Linked DNA regions of Arabidopsis thaliana. The protein of the gene in region 4 purifies or fractionates together with the protein of the main gene of each other region. This does not show direct contact. Each region holds a gene or a part of one and is shown on either strand. Other genes may lie near its edges. The genes, in order: IMPA-5, BTF3, IMPA-8 and AT3G48390.

What was found.
Region 1: the proteins of AT3G48390 (region 4) and IMPA-5 fractionate together in Arabidopsis thaliana (co-fractionation; one large-scale study listed by BioGRID). This does not show direct contact.
Region 2: the proteins of AT3G48390 (region 4) and BTF3 fractionate together in Arabidopsis thaliana (co-fractionation; one large-scale study listed by BioGRID). This does not show direct contact.
Region 3: the proteins of AT3G48390 (region 4) and IMPA-8 fractionate together in Arabidopsis thaliana (co-fractionation; one large-scale study listed by BioGRID). This does not show direct contact.

Annotation. Positions count from the first base shown.
Region 1 is NC_003076.8:19,991,400-19,996,393, reverse strand, and holds IMPA-5 (importin alpha), read left to right. Parts: upstream 1-1,721; 5' UTR 1,722-1,877; coding exon 1,878-2,084; intron 2,085-2,210; coding exon 2,211-2,304; intron 2,305-2,405; coding exon 2,406-2,497; intron 2,498-2,569; coding exon 2,570-2,701; intron 2,702-2,782; coding exon 2,783-2,968; intron 2,969-3,037; coding exon 3,038-3,201; intron 3,202-3,287; coding exon 3,288-3,366; intron 3,367-3,586; coding exon 3,587-3,715; intron 3,716-3,819; coding exon 3,820-3,947; intron 3,948-4,029; coding exon 4,030-4,378; 3' UTR 4,379-4,448; downstream 4,449-4,994. Other genes in the region: AT5G49320 (transmembrane protein, putative (DUF1218)), read left to right, coding at 180-344, 530-756, 930-1,311. UniProt on the Arabidopsis thaliana protein: Binds to conventional NLS motifs and mediates nuclear protein import across the nuclear envelope.
Region 2 is NC_003070.9:6,151,829-6,155,973, reverse strand, and holds BTF3 (basic transcription factor 3), read left to right. Parts: upstream 1-1,991; 5' UTR 1,992-2,108; intron 2,109-2,548; coding exon 2,549-2,616; intron 2,617-2,705; coding exon 2,706-2,854; intron 2,855-2,943; coding exon 2,944-3,000; intron 3,001-3,093; coding exon 3,094-3,132; intron 3,133-3,217; coding exon 3,218-3,402; 3' UTR 3,403-3,590; downstream 3,591-4,145. Other genes in the region: GER2 (NAD(P)-binding Rossmann-fold superfamily protein), read left to right, coding at 378-399, 532-1,496; EGY3 (ethylene-dependent gravitropism-deficient and yellow-green-like 3), read left to right, coding at 3,789-4,145.
Region 3 is NC_003076.8:21,118,395-21,122,747, reverse strand, and holds IMPA-8 (importin alpha), read left to right. Parts: upstream 1-1,628; coding exon 1,629-1,646; intron 1,647-1,730; coding exon 1,731-1,830; intron 1,831-1,923; coding exon 1,924-2,006; intron 2,007-2,080; coding exon 2,081-2,203; intron 2,204-2,281; coding exon 2,282-2,458; intron 2,459-2,533; coding exon 2,534-2,697; intron 2,698-2,780; coding exon 2,781-2,859; intron 2,860-2,957; coding exon 2,958-3,086; intron 3,087-3,183; coding exon 3,184-3,311; intron 3,312-3,399; coding exon 3,400-3,724; 3' UTR 3,725-3,802; downstream 3,803-4,353. Other genes in the region: AT5G52010 (C2H2-like zinc finger protein), read left to right, coding at 1-1,122.
Region 4 is NC_003074.8:17,918,769-17,924,000, forward strand, and holds AT3G48390 (MA3 domain-containing protein), read left to right. Parts: upstream 1-2,026; 5' UTR 2,027-2,262; intron 2,263-2,505; coding exon 2,506-2,590; intron 2,591-2,685; coding exon 2,686-4,502; 3' UTR 4,503-4,728; downstream 4,729-5,232. Other genes in the region: AT3G48380 (Peptidase C78, ubiquitin fold modifier-specific peptidase 1/ 2), read left to right, coding at 1-40, 124-200, 472-560, 641-752, 838-940, 1,005-1,080, 1,154-1,331; AT3G48400 (Cysteine/Histidine-rich C1 domain family protein), read left to right, coding at 4,910-5,232. UniProt on the Arabidopsis thaliana protein: Involved in target of rapamycin (TOR)-regulated translation control, especially under energy-deficient conditions.

The DNA.
Region 1 (4,994 bases), on a different chromosome or scaffold from region 4:
CCTTTGGCTGAAGCAATTCTTCTATCCTCCTCTCCTTTTTCATTTATTTATCAAATATACTCCAGTTTATTCTTTTCTTCCCACTTTCAATGCCTCTCATATATGTAAAACAAATCAAAGTATAATAACTCTCAAAACATGTAACTTCGATTCCTATCTATTAGAAATTGACGAGAGACATGTCGAGAACAAGAGTGCGAGCTGTGACCCATCAAGATCTTGTTCCAAACCCTAAAACCACAGATCTCAGCAGCAAAACCGGTATTTTCATCGCTGTTTTGACAATAATCTTTGGCCTCTCCTGCTTTGTTCTCTGCCTCTATGCCGAAGCCACAAGATCTCAGGTACATTACTATACAGGGATGTATATAAACTTTCTCTCATATGTTTTCATCATTTATATTTTCAAAATAAATCAGAAATCTATATTGATTCATGTTTTATATTAATTACCATATCGTTCGATTATAATAGTATTTAGTATAAGTTATATCATTGCCATTAATATGTTGTCAATCATTTGCAATAGGCGACATGGGGAAGCAAAACATGCGTGTATAATGGTAGCGGGAAAACGCCGTTGTTGTGTGGTGCGATTGCGTTTGTGGGACTAGCGGTGGCGATGGTGGGCTTCCACATGTACTTACTTATCGCAGTCACCACATCGCCGTCTCTGGTTCTGGTTGAGTGGGATCCTGACTCTGTTCCTGCGAAGAGGCTCACTTTTCAAGCTGCCTTCTTCTTCGTCTCAACATGGTACGTAGACTTATTCTAACGCAACGAATTAATGTCATGTAGTTATAAAAAATAAAATAAAAATAAAAAAATCCTAACTATAAGCAATCGTGAAATGACATATTTATGTTACTGACCATAGCTTAAGTTAATGATAATTTTGTGATTATATTATTCTTTTTTGTTCCTATAAGGGTTTGCTTTGGTGTTGGAGAGGTTCTACTGTTGGTTGCACTTAGTGTGGAATCAGGACATCTAAAGAACTGGTCTAAACCAAAACCTAGTTGTCTAGTAATCCGGCAAGGCTTGTTTTCAGCGGCCGGAGTGTTCTCACTTATAACCGTCTTTCTAGCCACGGGACTTTACCTAACCGCTCTTCAAGCACATCGAATCTCTAAGGATCTTGAAAACACACATAGAGAGATCATCGAGGCATCAGTTCTTTATGCATCTCCTCCAAGATCGCCTACAAATCGGATGGCTACGGTTGCTCGAGAAGGTCTTGCTACTGTTAGAGATGAATCGACGTCTTTGGAATATCTTGTTTCTTTAAAGCAACTTGCACATATAGTATAGTGTACAATGTATAGTAGTTAACATAATCATATGAGAAAAAACAATGTTTTTACTTCTTACATAAGCAATTCAAAATCACAAACCAAAACCTACTTTTTCCAATCAATACATGAACTTTACCGGAAAAGTAGGTTTTCCTTCGCCGGAGAAAACACTACACATCTAACGAGTAAACTCTGCAAATATGGTTCTTTTTATCGTCGGTAACGAGTAACTAAACCAACTTCACGGTTTAGTTCGGTTTAGATTCAAGTATTTTAGCTTATAATAATTATTGACTAATTATTTCAATTTGGAGCTCTTAATAATATGATTGTAAACTTTATCTTAAATTTAGATTATCAATGATTTATGATTCAATCTACTGTATAAATACGGTTAACAATTAAAAACGATAATTAGAAAACCCTCCCGCTTCTTCAAATTGAAACTGTTGTCGCTTCTTCTTCATCTTCACCACTCTTGCATTCTCTTCTTCACTTTGCAAATCCCATTCAGTTCAAATTTCTAGGGTTTCGCTTCGATTTTGTGAATTGATTTAGAGAGGTCGAAGAATCGAGAAAGCTATGTCCTTGCGACCGAGCACGAAGACAGAGATCCGTCGAATCCGTTACAAAGTCTCTGTAGATGCGGAAGAAGGACGCAGAAGAAGAGAAGACTTTTTAGTCGAGATTCGCAAGAGTAAACGCAACGAAAATTTGATGAAGAAACGTCGTGTAAAAGTTTTGCCTCCTGATTACAAGTTGATTTCCAACGACCCCTTTGAGAGTTTGGTAAAAGTTTGATCTTTGGTTTTGGATTAGTGAAACCTAGGTTTTGAAAGATACGACCTTTATCATTATACTCGAATGCTTTCGAATTGGGTAATTAAATTAGATCCTCTCTGGTGATGGTTGTAGTTGGAGATAGCGAATATGATCACTGGGGTTTTCTCGGATGATCCTTCATTGCAGCTTGAGTACACAACTCGGTTCAGGGTGGTTCTATCATTCGGTAAAACTCTTTACTTTTCTTTGATCTTGAGTTGAAAAAGATACGAACTTATATTTACTTGAATGGTTTCTTAAAGTCTTGTGGTTTTATATATTGTTCAGATAGAAGTCCACCTACTGATAATGTGATAAAATCTGGAGTTGTGCCACGTTTTGTAGAGTTTCTTAAGAAGGATGATAACCCTAAGCTTCAGGTTAGACTTAAAGTTCCCATCTTTGATGATTAGTGTAATCTTTGGTTCTGAATTCTTTGATCTTTTTTATAGTTTGAGGCTGCTTGGGCTTTAACAAACATTGCTTCTGGCGCATCTGAGCATACCAAGGTAGTGATTGATCACGGTGTTGTGCCACTCTTTGTTCAGCTTCTTGCTTCCCCTGATGATGATGTCCGTGAGCAGGTATAGTGCTTCTTCTGAGTATGAATGGTTAAATATGTGAGTTCAAATTTTGAAGAGTTTGATGTTACACTTAATTTGCAGGCTATATGGGGACTGGGTAATGTTGCTGGTGATTCAATACAGTGCCGTGACTTTGTTCTTAACTCTGGGGCATTTATTCCACTGTTGCATCAGCTGAATAACCATGCTACATTGTCGATACTTAGAAATGCGACTTGGACTTTATCAAACTTCTTCCGTGGCAAGCCTTCACCACCCTTTGACCTGGTATTCTTACTTCTCTATTTCCTCAGTTTTATAGGTGCAATACTTAAACTTATGAAACATGATTTATAGGTGAAACATGTTCTCCCTGTACTTAAAAGACTTGTTTATTCGGATGATGAACAAGTCTTGATAGATGCTTGCTGGGCGCTTTCGAATCTGTCTGATGCTTCAAATGAAAATATCCAAAGTGTGATCGAGGCGGGTGTTGTCCCAAGACTAGTTGAACTTCTCCAGTTAGTACTTCTCTCCAAATATTAAAAAATTTAACCGTTTGATACATGTTTGGATAATGAAGGCTCGCCATTTTTTTCTTTTGCAGACACGCTTCTCCAGTTGTACTTGTTCCTGCACTTCGTTGCATTGGGAATATAGTTTCTGGAAATAGTCAGCAGACTCACGTATGTAATTCATATTCCTTTGATGGAGCCTTCAAGAACACGTCTCTTGTACACCGTGTGAATTTATTGTTTTTCAAAGCAATAGCACTATCAAAAGCTTAATTTGTAATCCTGTATCTTGGATGATTATATCCTGGAGAACACTTCATTTATATGTTGCTTGAGTACTGTGTTGAGATTAGATTTTGTAACCAAATAACTCTTTGAACTTATTTTTCAGTGTGTGATCAATTGTGGTGTTTTACCCGTTCTTGCTGACCTGCTTACTCAAAACCATATGAGAGGCATAAGGAGGGAAGCTTGCTGGACGATTTCAAACATCACTGCCGGTTTAGAAGAACAAATTCAGGTGAGCATGAGTTTGTGATTGTTACTGTTGCAGAACTTGAACAATTTACGTTGCTATCACTAAATATTTTCTATTTGTCTTTCTTGCATTGATGATGATAACAGTCGGTTATTGATGCAAATTTGATTCCATCGTTGGTCAATCTGGCACAACATGCTGAATTTGACATAAAGAAAGAAGCTATATGGGCAATTTCAAATGCTTCCGTGGGTGGTTCTCCTAATCAAATCAAGTACATCCCTGTCTTCTTTCTTTATCACTTTTTTCATGCTTATTGATCATCTATATTCACAATATCCATTGGTGTGTATCAGATACTTGGTGGAGCAGAATTGCATAAAAGCTTTATGTGACATCCTGGTTTGTCCAGATCTAAGAATCATCTTAGTGTCTCTAGGTGGACTGGAAATGATTTTGATTGCTGGAGAGGTGGACAAGAACCTAAGAGACGTGAACTGTTACTCTCAAATGATTGAAGATGCAGAAGGGCTAGAAAAGATTGAGAACTTGCAGCACCATGGCAACAATGAGATCTACGAGAAGGCTGTGAAGATTCTGCAAACATACGGGCTTGTAGAGGAAGATGGAAGGTTAGTTGAAGAGGAAGATGAAGGTGGTGATGGTTGTTCTCATCCGGAATTCCAGTTTGATTTTTCTCGTTAAGATCCCACATAATCTGATATTAGATTTTGATGTAAAGAAATAGCTGTCATATTGAACCAAAAGCATGCACATAATATGATGGTCCTAAAAGACAAAACAATGTGGATTCCAACAGGAAGTGGAACTTGGTTCTCTAACAGCTACTCATCATATTGGAATCAAGTTCCACTTCCTGTTAGAGAACCAAGTTCCACTTCCTGTTGGAATCCACATTGTTTTGTCTTTTAGGAAAAAATTTTACTCAAATTTACCGAACTAACGGTCAAAATTAAGAAAGGGTTAAATTATTTGTTTACCGAACTAACGGTCAAACTTTAAAGATGGATTCAGTTTTTTTGACGCGGGACGGATTTGTTTTTTTTTTTTTCTTTCGAAATGGATGGGCTCTTATGCTATGGGCTTTGGTATAACGTAAAAGGCCCATATATTCCGAAACCACTTTGTGTTTCGTTTCCATGGAGAAATTGAATCATCGAATTTGGTCGCCACTTTGAGAATTTAGATGAATTCGATAACAAGCTCAAGTAAGAAGGTGCAGAGATGCTTTATTATTTCTTCGCTCGTTGTTAACTCTTCTTCATTCTCGTCTCTGCTATTTTTTCTTAAGCTTCGATCA
Region 2 (4,145 bases), on a different chromosome or scaffold from region 4:
TTATGGATGGTACGGAGTACGGACACCTGGCTGATGGAGCTAATTTGGTAACTCACAGCTGCGAACCGGAATTTGGTCCGGTTTAATTGCAATAGGCCAATAACGTAACGATGGAAAAGTAAGCGAAATGGGCGGAGAGTGAGGTGACTATTTTATTTAGGCCCATGGGCCAGGATCCATAAACTGAATAACAAAATATCCGACACCGATTCAGATCGCCGGCGGATATTCAGATCTCCTCCACATTACATTCTCCAAGGAATTTAACCTTTACCTACAAATCTAAGCTTCTGTCGTTGACTTCGAAAACTGATATCTATAAGTCAAAATCCCCATTCTCAATCGCTCATCGTCTTGTAGAACTAATTGACTAAACAATGGCGGACAACACAGGATCCGGTACGTCCATCTCTCTATTTTATGTCTGAATATAATGTTTCATGTCTATATACGGAGTTTTGTGGAATTGAATTTAGATTTTCGTGGAAATTTTGGAACCCTAGGTCTTTGATCCCTCGTAATTCTGTGCAGAGATGAAATCAGGTTCGTTTATGTTAGAGAAATCCGCCAAGATCTTTGTCGCTGGACATAGGGGATTGGTTGGATCTGCCATTGTCCGCAAGCTCCAGGATCAGGGTTTCACCAATTTGGTCCTTCGAACCCATTCAGAGCTTGATCTCACTAGCCAATCAGATGTTGAATCTTTCTTTGCTACAGAGAAACCAGTTTATGTCATCCTAGCTGCTGCTAAAGTCGGTGGGATTCATGCTAACAACACATACCCAGCTGATTTCATTGGGGTCAATCTCCAAATCCAGACCAATGTGATCCACTCTGCTTATACACACGGTGTGAAGAAACTCCTCTTCCTTGGTTCATCTTGCATTTACCCCAAATTTGCTCCTCAGCCGATTCCCGAATCTGCGCTTCTTACCGGTCCGCTCGAACCGACAAACGAATGGTATGCGATCGCCAAGATCGCGGGTATTAAGATGTGTCAAGCTTACCGGCTTCAGCATCAGTGGGATGCTATCTCCGGTATGCCCACGAATCTGTATGGTCAGAATGATAATTTCCACCCGGAGAATTCCCATGTGCTGCCTGCTCTCATGAGGAGGTTTCATGAAGCCAAAGCCAATAATGCTGACGAAGTTGTGGTTTGGGGAAGTGGAAGCCCGTTGAGGGAGTTTTTACATGTCGATGATTTGGCTGATGCTTGTGTTTTCTTGATGGATCAGTACAGCGGATTTGAGCATGTGAATGTAGGAAGTGGTGTTGAAGTGACGATCAAAGAATTGGCTGAGTTGGTGAAAGAAGTTGTTGGGTTTAAAGGAAAGCTTGTTTGGGATACCACAAAACCAGACGGGACACCAAGGAAACTGATGGATAGCTCGAAGCTTGCGTCTTTGGGATGGACACCGAAGATTTCGCTTAAAGATGGCCTCTCCCAAACTTATGAATGGTATTTGGAAAATGTTGTGCAGAAGAAGCAGTAAAAAAAACAAGGTCCAAAACACAAAGCAATATTCATTCTCTTTACACGTGAATGTTTATGCGTTTGATTTTTGGTTCTATACAGATCTCTCTATCTCTTTTATGTAATTTTTGTATTCATGGATTTCATACAGTTCAAGTTAAGCAAACTTACTTTGTAATAAATGTACCATTGTTGTTGAGATTATCAATAATCGAATAGCTTTCTTCTCTAAATTTTAGTCAACTAAACAAGTCTGTTCATTGATAAACTCATTTAGATAAATTTGTGGATTTTGAAATTCTGGTAACCAAAAGATTATGGTTTGCTACGCGCTAATACTGGTGATTGATTACGGCACAAAAGAGCCCAGTAAATAATTATTGGCCCAGTTTAGTTTTGGGCCTTATGGGCCAATATTATCATCGAGCATCCAACGGTAGTGATGGAGATTTCTTTATGGAATATCTGATATCCACCGTTAGATTAAGAGACGAGGTTGGCTCCGAATAGCATATAGTTAAAGGGCAAAACCCTGCGCCGCCCGCGTCTCTCCTCTCTCTGTTTCTTTTCTTTTTGTTTCATTTTCTTATCTCCTCACACTCTTCGAACAAGGAAGAACCCTAATCTCAAGGTAAATTCATTATCACTGTAATTTTCCTTTCTATTAGTGTTTTATCTCTCCGGTTCTAGGGTTTCTCTAATCCCCGATTTTGCAAAATGTCAGATATCTTTCTTTCTTGATTCATTTCGCTTCTTTCTGTAGATAGGATTAGTTTTTGTCGGTGTTTGGGAATTTACTGGGTTTTCAACTTCTCTGTGTGTTTGATTGGGGGATTTGGTATACCTAATCGATTGAAAATGATTAAATTTAGGTTAAAACTACTAGTCACATCACCGTGTCTTCATACGCATCTGAGTTTAAATCTGTTCGCGCTTACTTTCTTCTCACTAGTTTCTTGTATAATAAGAAGTTTTTGTGAATGTATTATTAGCAGTTAATGTGTTCATTGATTCTTTTGGAAGTGATTTGGGGATTGATGGATTTTGCTTCTTATTATGGTTTATACACAGATGAATAGGGAGAAGTTGATGAAGATGGCTAATACCGTCCGCACTGGCGGAAAGGGTACTGTCAGAAGGTATAGAGTTTTATTCAACCAATTTCATTGTTCAATACTTAGCATTTACTATGATTTGTGTTATGAAACCATTCGATTTTTACTTGCAGAAAGAAGAAGGCTGTGCACAAGACCAATACAACTGATGACAAGAGGCTTCAAAGCACTCTTAAGAGAATTGGAGTTAACTCCATTCCCGCTATTGAAGAAGTTAACATCTTTAAGGATGATGTTGTTATTCAGTTCATCAACCCTAAGGGTAAGTCATTTTTAACCATTTTTTATCTATACATCAGAACCTTTTTTTCATGTTACTGATCATTGTTCCTCCTTTGAATGTTACTACAGTTCAAGCTTCAATTGCTGCAAACACATGGGTTGTTAGCGGTTCTCCTCAGACCAAAAGTATTGCATCTCATAATATCTCTTAATCTCTACTTTCTTGTTTCTTCTTCATTTCATCTTCTCTGATTAATGTAAACGTGTTGCTTCCTGCAGAATTGCAAGATATCCTTCCTCAGATCATCAGCCAACTTGGTGTGTACCATGTAACTGTACAGCTCTTAAATGTTCTTCATCGATCCTAAGGTCTCTAACTTTATGTTACTTTGATCTCTTTCAGGACCAGACAACATGGACAACCTGAAGAAGCTAGCAGAACAGTTCCAGAAACAGGCTTCTGGTGAAGGTAATGCCGCCTCAGCAACCATACAAGAAGAGGATGATGACGATGTCCCAGAGCTTGTTGGAGAGACATTCGAAACTGCTGCTGAAGAGAAAGCACCAGCTGCTGCTGCTTCTTCTTAGAGAGAAAAGAGCGAGACCACATCCAAAAAAAAACCGCACTTTGATTTTTACATATCTTTATAATATGTTTGTTCGCTCGATCCTTTTTGTAGTTTCCGACCAGAATCTTGTTTTCCATCTAATGACTTAAGGTTTTTATCCAATTATTTGATGTCTTATTGATTCTTTGACAGCAAATCAGGTCCTCGTCTTCTTCTTCCTCTTCACTATGTGGATTAGAAGATTTTGATGTGACACATTGTCTTGTTGCATAAAAACCATTCCACCTGTACTGTATGAGTTTCTTCTCAAACTTTCCAGACATTTCATCACTTTCTCTACAAATTCTCTCTCAGAGACATGTCTATTCGTCGTCAAATCTCAATCTTTCTGAGTTTTCGTAAACCATGGCTTCTCTCTTTGTTTCTACTCCATCATCTTCCTTAACTCTTAAATCCTGTCACAGTTTGCATCTTCGTCGCTTTGACAGAGCAGAATTTTCGAACTTTGGGAAAGCTTCTGTGAATCAGACAACGAGAAGCAGACATTCTTTGAGATGTTCAGCGGAAGATGATCGCGTTCGTGAACCTGTGAACGAAGCTCCTTCTCCGGTGGCGTTAGCGGAGGAGCAAAAAGAAGACCACGATAACAATAATGCGCCGCCTTCTCCAGAGAGCAGTGAAGAAGAGGAGGAAAAGAAGTCGAAGCAGCAAGAGATGGATTGGAAAACAGACGAGGAGTTCAAGAAGTTTATGGGGAATCCA
Region 3 (4,353 bases), on a different chromosome or scaffold from region 4:
TTTACCTTCTCCAATTCCAAATTCCAAAACCCTAAATTCACAAGCTTCCCACTTCGTCACCAATGGCGGATCGAATCATGTCTGAAATCAGCATCTTCATCAGAAATCGATATGGTAAGAAACAAAGAAGGTATCTTTGCACCAAAGGAGAAGAAAGTTGTAGTCTTATGGGACTTAGACAACAAACCACCACGAGGTCCACCATACGAAGCCGCAACAGCTCTCCGTAAAGTCGCTGAGAAACTCGGCCGAGTCGTCGAAATCTCCGCTTACGCAAATCGTCATGCTTTTATCCATTTACCTCATTGGGTCGTCGAAGAGAGACGAGAAAGGAGGAACCTTGATTTCATGGAGAGGAAAGGAGAAGTGACTCCAATTGATCCGTACATTTGTGGTGTTTGTGGTCGCAAGTGTAAAACCAATCTTGATTTGAAGAAACATTTCAAGCAGCTTCATGAGAGGGAGAGACAGAAGAAAGTTAATAGGATGAGATCTTTGAAAGGTAAGAAACGTCAGAAGTTTAAGGAGCGTTATGTTTCAGGGAATGAGAAGTATAATGAGGCTGCGAGGAGTTTGTTGACTCCTAAAGTTGGATATGGTTTAGAGGCTGAGCTACGTCGAGCAGGGGTTTATGTTAAGACGGTTGAGGATAAGCCTCAGGCTGCGGATTGGGCGGTTAAGAGACAGATACAACATTCAATGACTAGAGGGATTGATTGGTTGGTTTTGGTGTCGGATGATAAGGATTTTTCTGATATGTTGAGGAAAGCTAGAGAGGCTGATCTTGGGACTTTGGTTGTTAGTGATATGGATAGAGCATTGGGAAGGCATGCTGATTTGTGGGTGCCTTGGAGTGGTGTTGAGAAGGGAGAGATTGGTGAGAAGGATTTGATTCCGGGGAAGAGACCAAGGTTTGAGGAGGATGAGGTGGGATTTGGTGGTAATGATGAGTTGTTTTCGTTGTCGTATGATGAGGATGAGAAGGCGGAGATGACGGTGGAGAGTGATGGGTTTGGGAGGTTTAATGTATCGGCGTTTTCGGAAGATGAATGGGTGGAGGATGAAGGAGACTTTGTGTTGAGTGATAGTAGTGATGATGATAGTGATGATGAGCTTTTCTGATTCATGGTGAATTGAGTTGCATTTCTAAGTGTTGTTAATTGGTTTACGAATAGAGTTCATAGGAGCTTTGGTCGATGTAATTGAAATCAAATGTAAAACCATTCTTACATAAGCCAAGATTTTGTGCATTCATGTGGTCAAAGGCTTTGAGAATTCAAGTTCTTACATAAACCAAGATTTTGTGGTATTGTGGTTTGTCGAATTGAAATTTTGGGTTGGAGTAAACCGGATTCAAATCAAATTTTTATTTTGATCGGTTTAGAGTAGACGGTTAAGTAGCGACTGGATTTTTTGATCAGACGGTTAAAATAAAATCAAGAAAGAAACGATAACTGAAAAACCCGTTTTTTTACGCTTCGTTAAAATTCTGCTTCACCATTTTTGTTTGCATTCTTGCTTGATTGCAAAATCTTTGCCTCTCTCACATTTCAAGTTGAGATTTCTAGGGTTTAGTCTTTAAGTTTTCTAAATTGCTTTGGAGAGGTCGAAAAGAAGAGAGAAAAGCCATGGCTTGGAAAACAGAGGTCCGTTTAAAACTATCTCACAAGTAATCACTCTCTGGTTGATTTTGTGTTGGACTAGTGAGGTTTTTAGGGTTTGGATTGTAGGTGAACGAAGTTTCAGATGATATAATCGATGGTCTTTGGTCAGATGATCCTCCATTACAACTTGAATCCGTTACCAAGATCAGACGTATTACATCACAGAGTAAAAACTTCCTCTGTTTTTTACTTTCTTTACTTTTTCTTGATCTCGGTTTGAAAGATTCGTCTTTTATCATTTACTCTAATATCTTTCCAGGAGATATATCTTGTGTGATACGATCTGGAGTTGTACCGCGTCTCGTTCAGTTGCTTAAAAATCAAGTTTTCCCCAAGCTTCAAGTTAGTTGATATTTTATGATGATGATCAGTGTAACCTTTGATTACGATATATTCAGTGATCTTTGTTTTTATAGTATGAGGTAGCTTGGGCTCTAACAAACATTGCTGTTGACAATCCGGGCGTGGTAGTTAATAACAACGCTGTTCCAGTATTAATTCAGCTTATTGCTTCTCCTAAAGATTATGTTCGTGAGCAGGTAAGTATTTTACTACGTGTAGATATGAGAATACTTGTCACAGACTCACAGATATGAGTTTTGACATTATTCTTGCAGGCTATATGGACACTGAGTAATGTTGCTGGTCATTCGATACATTACCGTGACTTTGTTCTTAACTCTGGGGTATTGATGCCACTGTTGCGTCTTCTGTATAAGGATACTACACTCAGAATTGCTACTTGGGCTTTGCGTAACTTGTGTCGTGGCAAGCCTCACCCGGCTTTCGATCAGGTCTTCTTACTTCTCTCTCTGTCTCTGTTTCCTCTGTTTTGTATACTTTTTAACATATGAAGCATGATTCAACAGGTGAAACCTGCTCTTCCTGCGCTTGAAATACTTCTTCATTCACATGATGAAGATGTCTTGAAAAATGCTTGCATGGCACTATGTCATCTGTCTGAGGGTTCAGAAGATGGAATCCAAAGTGTGATTGAGGCTGGTTTTGTCCCAAAACTAGTTCAAATTCTCCAGTTAGTACTTCTCAGAATATGTATTTAACCCTTTTGTGACATGTTTGGATAAGGAAAGGCTGACAGTTTTTTTTCTTTTGCAGACTCCCTTCTCCAGTGGTGCTTGTTCCTGCACTTCTTACCATTGGGGCTATGACTGCTGGAAATCATCAGCAGACACAGGTATGTATTTCATATTCAACTTACGTTGTCCACCTTTTGGATTTTGTAACCAAACAACAAAATGCTTTGTTATACACCTCTTTGAACTTATTCTTCAGTGTGTGATCAATAGTGGTGCTTTACCCATTATTTCCAACATGCTTACTCGAAACCACGAGAACAAAATAAAGAAGTGTGCTTGCTGGGTGATTTCAAACATCACTGCAGGGACTAAAGAACAAATTCAGGTGAGAAACTTTTGTTGCTATTATCCCCAATGAAAATTTACCATTTTTGTCTTTTGCTATCACTAATTTGTTTTTCTTTTTCCCCTGGTGATTACAGTCAGTTATTGATGCAAATTTGATTCCAATCTTGGTCAATCTTGCTCAAGATACTGACTTCTACATGAAGAAAGAAGCTGTATGGGCAATTTCAAATATGGCCTTAAATGGTTCTCATGATCAAATCAAGTAACGTCCCTGTCTTGTTTCTTTTTTCAACTTTAATGTACTTATTATAGATCATCAAGTCTCACAATTCTCCATTGGTGTGATTCAGATACATGGCGGAGCAGAGTTGCATAAAACAATTATGTGATATCCTAGTATATTCAGATGAAAGAACCACCATCTTAAAGTGTCTGGATGGATTGGAAAACATGTTGAAGGCCGGAGAGGCTGAAAAGAACAGTGAAGACGTGAACCCTTATTGTCTACTGATTGAAGATGCGGAAGGGCTAGAAAAGATTTCGAAGCTGCAAATGAACAAAAACGATGATATCTACGAGAAGGCTTATAAGATTCTGGTGACGAATTGGTTTGAAGAGGATGATGAGAACAACAACAACAACGTCCGATGTGATGATGTGGACTTTCAGGTGTGAGAGAACCAAAGTTCCAGTTCCTTATATGGAAGATCCCAACACAATTATTTGTTATAGTGAAAAAAAAACATCTTACATGGGACCAAAGGCTTTGCACCTTTGTTGTCTCAGGGCTTTACTTGGTCTTTAATTGAATGTACAAAGTTGATGTAAAAGCTTTGGCTCCATCGTTCATGGAGTCTAGTACATTGTTTTGGGTTTTAAAAGTTTTCTGTGTTAAAGCTCGTCGTCTAATTGATGTTGTGTTTGGTTTTAGTTGAAAGGTTTAGACGTTTAGTAAAAAAGTTACTCAAATTCTTGAAATCTCCTTGGCCTTGCTGATTATAAAATCAAATATTCATTTATAAAATTATGCGAAAGGGTCTAATTATTTTTGAAACCGAATCGAATGAAGACAACTCCATTTTGATTGATTTTTTTTTTGTTGTATTAAAGAATAAAAAACTCGACTGGTTCAACAAGACTGGATTGTCTTTAAACTACTGGTTCAATGTATTTTGGGTACATAATGAAAAAAATACACAATCCGCCTTGGCCACGTATCCATCTTTGGCTTAGTTGATGATGATAATACTTTTGTTTTTTGGTAAGGCTGATGATGATAATAGTTAGAAGAAGTTCATAGAATA
Region 4 (5,232 bases):
TTGCTCAAAGATGTGCATATTGGAATCCCTAGCAGCGGAGGTTAGTACTATTTGTATGCCTTTGTTTCCGTTGTTCATCCTTCGGTCTCTCGATTCGTTTATTGAATTTGCAATGTTATGCAGTTTCGGAGGGTGTGGCATCTATTATCCAAGGTTCTTATGAGTATTATCATTATCTTCAGGATGGCTTTGATGACTCGGTATATCATTTCTCATTCTTCCATGGTTTTAAAACACTGTAAAAGTAGATTGCTGATGACGTGTGGAGTGAAACAAAACTAAAGCAGAAACTAGGGATTAAAGGCTCTGTGCTAATTTATTAGAATCTTTTACTGCATTCATACCGGAAACTGGAGTTCGTAAATGATTATTGGCATGATAGTTTGTTGCGCTTCAAGTATTTCTATTGTATTTTAGAAAACTAGAAATACCTTCTCAACATCTAACACTAATTTTCACTTGCCGTGCTAGGGATGGGGATGTGCTTACCGATCATTGCAAACTATTATCTCGTGGTTCAGACTTCAACACTACACATCCATATCTGTACCTTCACATAGGTATGAAACTTCTGTTTCTCATGAATATAAATCAGAGCTCCTCTTTCCTCGATTCGCTAAGTATTTTTCTGGATTCTCAGGGAAATACAGCAGACACTCGTGGAAATAGGTGACAAGGATCCTTCGTTTGTAGGATCGCGTGAATGGATTGGTGCCATAGAGTTAAGCTTTGTGTTGGATAAACTTCTTGGTGTAAGTCTTCTGCTCTTAACTTCTTGGTGTAAGTCTCCTGCTCTGAACTTGATGTTGAGAAGCTCGTAATGTCTTTTATTTGCAGGTAAGTTGCAAAATTATGAACTTCAGATCCGGATCAGAGCTCCCAGAGAAATGCCGGGAGTTAGCTATGCACTTTGAGAACCAAGGAACTCCAATAATGATTGGTAAGTCAAGCCAAATCACTCTGATATTATAGCATAAGTGAAAGCGTAGACCCTATATATAAAGGATCAGTGGACCAGTCTTTAATGCGGTTTAAAGAAACCTATAAGAAGGATCCGTTTAATCTTTTAAACTTTGTATTGTGAATTGGTTTTACTTGCAGGAGGTGGGGTTCTTGCATACACGCTATTGGGAGTGGATTACGATGAAGGAAGCGGGGATTGCGCGTTCCTGATCCTGGATCCGCATTATACAGGAAGTGAAGATCACAAGAAGATCGTCAATGGTGGTTGGTGTGGGTGGAAAAAAGCTGTTGATAGCAAAGGAAAAAGCTTTTTCTTGCACAACAAGTTTTACAATCTTCTTCTTCCTCAACGTCCCAACATGGTTTAATTATCATTTTCCTACATGTAACAACAATTACTTTTTTTCTTATCACAGTTTTAGCCTGCTCTGGTCTCCTGATAGTGCAAAAAATGGAGTTTTCAAGAAATTTGAATTTCAGTCGAATAAATAAACCATATTGAAATTAATGTCCGGCTTTTAGATTCGGTGTTACTTCTTGTTAGATGAATCGTTTGGCAAAGTCCAATGGAAACCTTTTTTCTCATTGCATGGCATTGAGGGGTAGTTTTGGTAAATTTGTAAAAACTTTTGGATAAGAATGGAAAAAAGCAGCGATAGGAACGATTACGTGCGGGAGTGTAGAGCACGTGGAATAGAATCAACAGAAATAGATAATTACCAAAACTTACAAAACTACACAAAACCCCCACATTTAGCCTAATATTTGTATAGAATGCCTAAATTCTAATTGGATTCTTTTAAGAGAAATAATGGCTATGGGTATTGAAAAATATATGTATATATATAAAATTCGATTTATTTGGATTGAATGTCTGTAAGAAAACTTCTTTGGAAAAAGAAGATATTTCAAAACACGTCAACCAGTAAAACTAATTAGGACCTATCTGAACTAATAAAAAGTATAGTGTTTGATTTAGAATTAAATTACATTTAATGGCTTCTCCACAATTTAAAAAGCCTTATATGATGACGTGTACCTTCCCTTTACTTTTTATTTGTTTTTCCTTTTTCCAATTTTGTAAATCGCCGATTCTCTCTCATCGACTAGTATTTATAGTCTCGTCGAACTTAGAAATCGGCGACATTTGAATCTTCTAAGACTCTGGTGGAAATTTTTATTACTTACCTGCGGAGTTCTGATAGCTTCTTCTTCTTCTTCCTGTCTTGGCTTGAGATCCGAAGCCAAGTACAGAAGAGTTCGTTCGATTAGTTTGGATTCGTTTCGAATTAATCACTGGTATGTATAATTCTATTACTGGATTTAGGTTTTATATGTTGCTTCTTTGATATTATACAAACCAGTGTGTTTGTAACTTAGAGGTAGTGTTGTTTCGTGTTATTTTTCTGTTTAATTAATGTTATGAAGCCAAGCTATAATGTTATTTGTTCTAGAATGTAGATTGTTGTGTTCTGTTTTGCTCTTAACTTGTTGTTTTCGGATTTGTTTTCTAAATCATTCATAAATCTTGAACGTGTTTAGATGGCAACGAGGGAGTGGTTTGTGATGAATGCACAACAGACGAAACTGGCTCTAGAGTCTCCTCCTCTGTTTGCTGTCAAGAAAGGTTAATACTTTATTCAATTTTCTTAGTAAATTTATACTTCCCTTCTTCTTGTCTTGCTTTTCAAACATGAAGCTTATATTTGTACGTTTCAACAGATGATGATAAAGATCATACTTGTGATACTGGAGAGGAACCTTATGCACTTGTTGGTTCCCCTGTGTTTAACCCTTTGGAAGATTACAAAAGAGAAGTAGTTTCCATCATCGATGAATACTTTAGCTCTGGGGATGTTGAAGTGGCTGCTTCTGACCTTATGGATCTTGGTTTGAGCGAATACCATCCTTATTTTGTCAAGAGGCTTGTTTCCATGGCCATGGACAGGGGCAATAAGGAGAAGGAGAAGGCTTCGGTGTTACTCTCGCGGTTGTACGCTCTTGTTGTTTCACCTGATCAAATCAGGGTTGGGTTTATTAGACTGCTTGAGTCCGTTGGTGATCTTGCTTTGGACATACCTGATGCTGTTAATGTACTTGCTTTGTTTATTGCCCGGGCCATCGTCGATGAAATTCTTCCCCCCGTTTTTCTGGCTAGAGCAAAGAAGACTCTACCGCATTCCTCTCAAGGGTTTCAGGTTATCTTAGTTTCAGAAAATAGCTATCTCTCTGCTCCTCACCACGCAGAGCTAGTGGAGACAAAATGGGGTGGGAGTACTCACATTACGGTAGAAGAAACAAAGAGAAAGATATCTGAATTTTTGAATGAATATGTAGAGAATGGTGACACTCGTGAAGCTTGTAGATGCATCAGGGAGTTAGGTGTCTCGTTTTTCCATCACGAGATCGTGAAGAGTGGTTTGGTTCTAGTGATGGAGTCCCGAACATCCGAGCCGCTGATACTAAAATTGTTGAAAGAAGCTACAGAAGAAGGTCTCATTAGTTCGAGTCAAATGGCGAAAGGGTTCTCCCGAGTAGCAGATAGTCTTGATGATCTTTCTCTTGACATCCCATCTGCTAAAACTCTGTTTGAGTCAATAGTTCCCAAGGCTATAATAGGAGGTTGGCTCGACGAAGATTCGTTTAAAGAACGCTCTGATCAAAATGGGGGCAGCGAAAATCTAAGGCGGTTCAAGAAGGATGCAGAGACCATAATTCAAGAGTATTTCCTTTCTGATGATATCCCCGAGCTAATCCGCAGTCTTGAAGATTTAGGATTACCCGAATATAACCCGGTATTCTTGAAGAAACTCATCACTCTTGCTATGGATAGGAAGAACAAAGAGAAAGAAATGGCTTCTGTTTTTCTCGCTTCTCTTCACATGGAGATGTTCTCAACAGAAGACTTCATAAATGGTTTCATCATGCTCCTCGAATCCGCAGAAGATACAGCATTAGACATCTTAGCAGCATCAGACGAGCTTGCTCTGTTTCTAGCTAGAGCTGTGATCGATGATGTCTTGGCTCCGCTTAATCTCGAAGAGATCTCAAACAGCTTACCGCCAAAATCAACCGGAAGCGAAACCATCCGCTCAGCTCGGTCTCTGATATCCGCTCGACACGCAGGAGAAAGACTCCTGAGAAGCTGGGGTGGGGGAACGGGCTGGGCAGTGGAAGACGCTAAAGACAAGATCTGGAAACTTCTAGAAGAATACGAAGTAGGAGGAGTAATATCAGAGGCTTGTCGATGCATACGCGATCTAGGAATGCCGTTTTTTAACCACGAGGTGGTTAAGAAGGCTTTGGTAATGGCAATGGAGAAGAAGAACGATCGGATGCTTAATCTCTTGCAGGAGTGTTTTGCTGAAGGGATCATTACTACTAACCAAATGACAAAAGGGTTTGGTCGAGTCAAAGATAGTCTTGATGACTTATCTTTGGATATTCCAAATGCAGAAGAGAAATTTAACTCGTATGTTGCGCACGCTGAAGAGAACGGTTGGCTACACCGCGATTTTGGGTGTTCTACAGATTCTTGACTGATTCTGAGTCTCTACATATATAGAAATATGGAGTTGGTTGGTTTTGGGTGTTCTTCAAACTGTTCTTTGTACTTGTTTCCGACGAAAGATCATTCTATGTACTTTTTACATAGGTTTTTATAAACGTCACATGCATATGTTCTCTGAAACTTCCCCACCAATTATTCATACAATTGGTTACTAATAATGTTTGCAAATATTTCAATCAAAAGAAATTTAATCCATATATTATTCAAATAATTGAACATTATAGCCTCATATTCGATGGTGTTGTGATGTAGCTTATCATTTGTTTATTCAACGCGCATATATATTAAACATCTCAAAAACACCACACAAGACATGACAAAAAAAAACAAGGGTTGACTAAAAAGAAAGAAAGAGATCTGAATCACAAAAGCACAATGGAGAGATCAGTAGATTTACCGATTCACAAGCATCCATTATACCATTCATCAAGGTTTATAAATGGTCGTTGCCGCGGTTGCAAGCAAACCTCACCTATCTATAGTGGCTACCGTTGCAATGACTCTGATTGTAACCATGTTTGGTATCACAAAGAATGTGGCGAATCATTACCGGAGATCAATCATCCTTCCCATCTCGAGCATCCGCTCTGCTTAATCGACTACAGGGGAAGTGGTACGTGTGCTTTTTGTGGAGCTTTCTTGTTTGGTCCTACGTATCATTGTTGGATATGCGCCTTTAATATCGATATAGCTTGTGC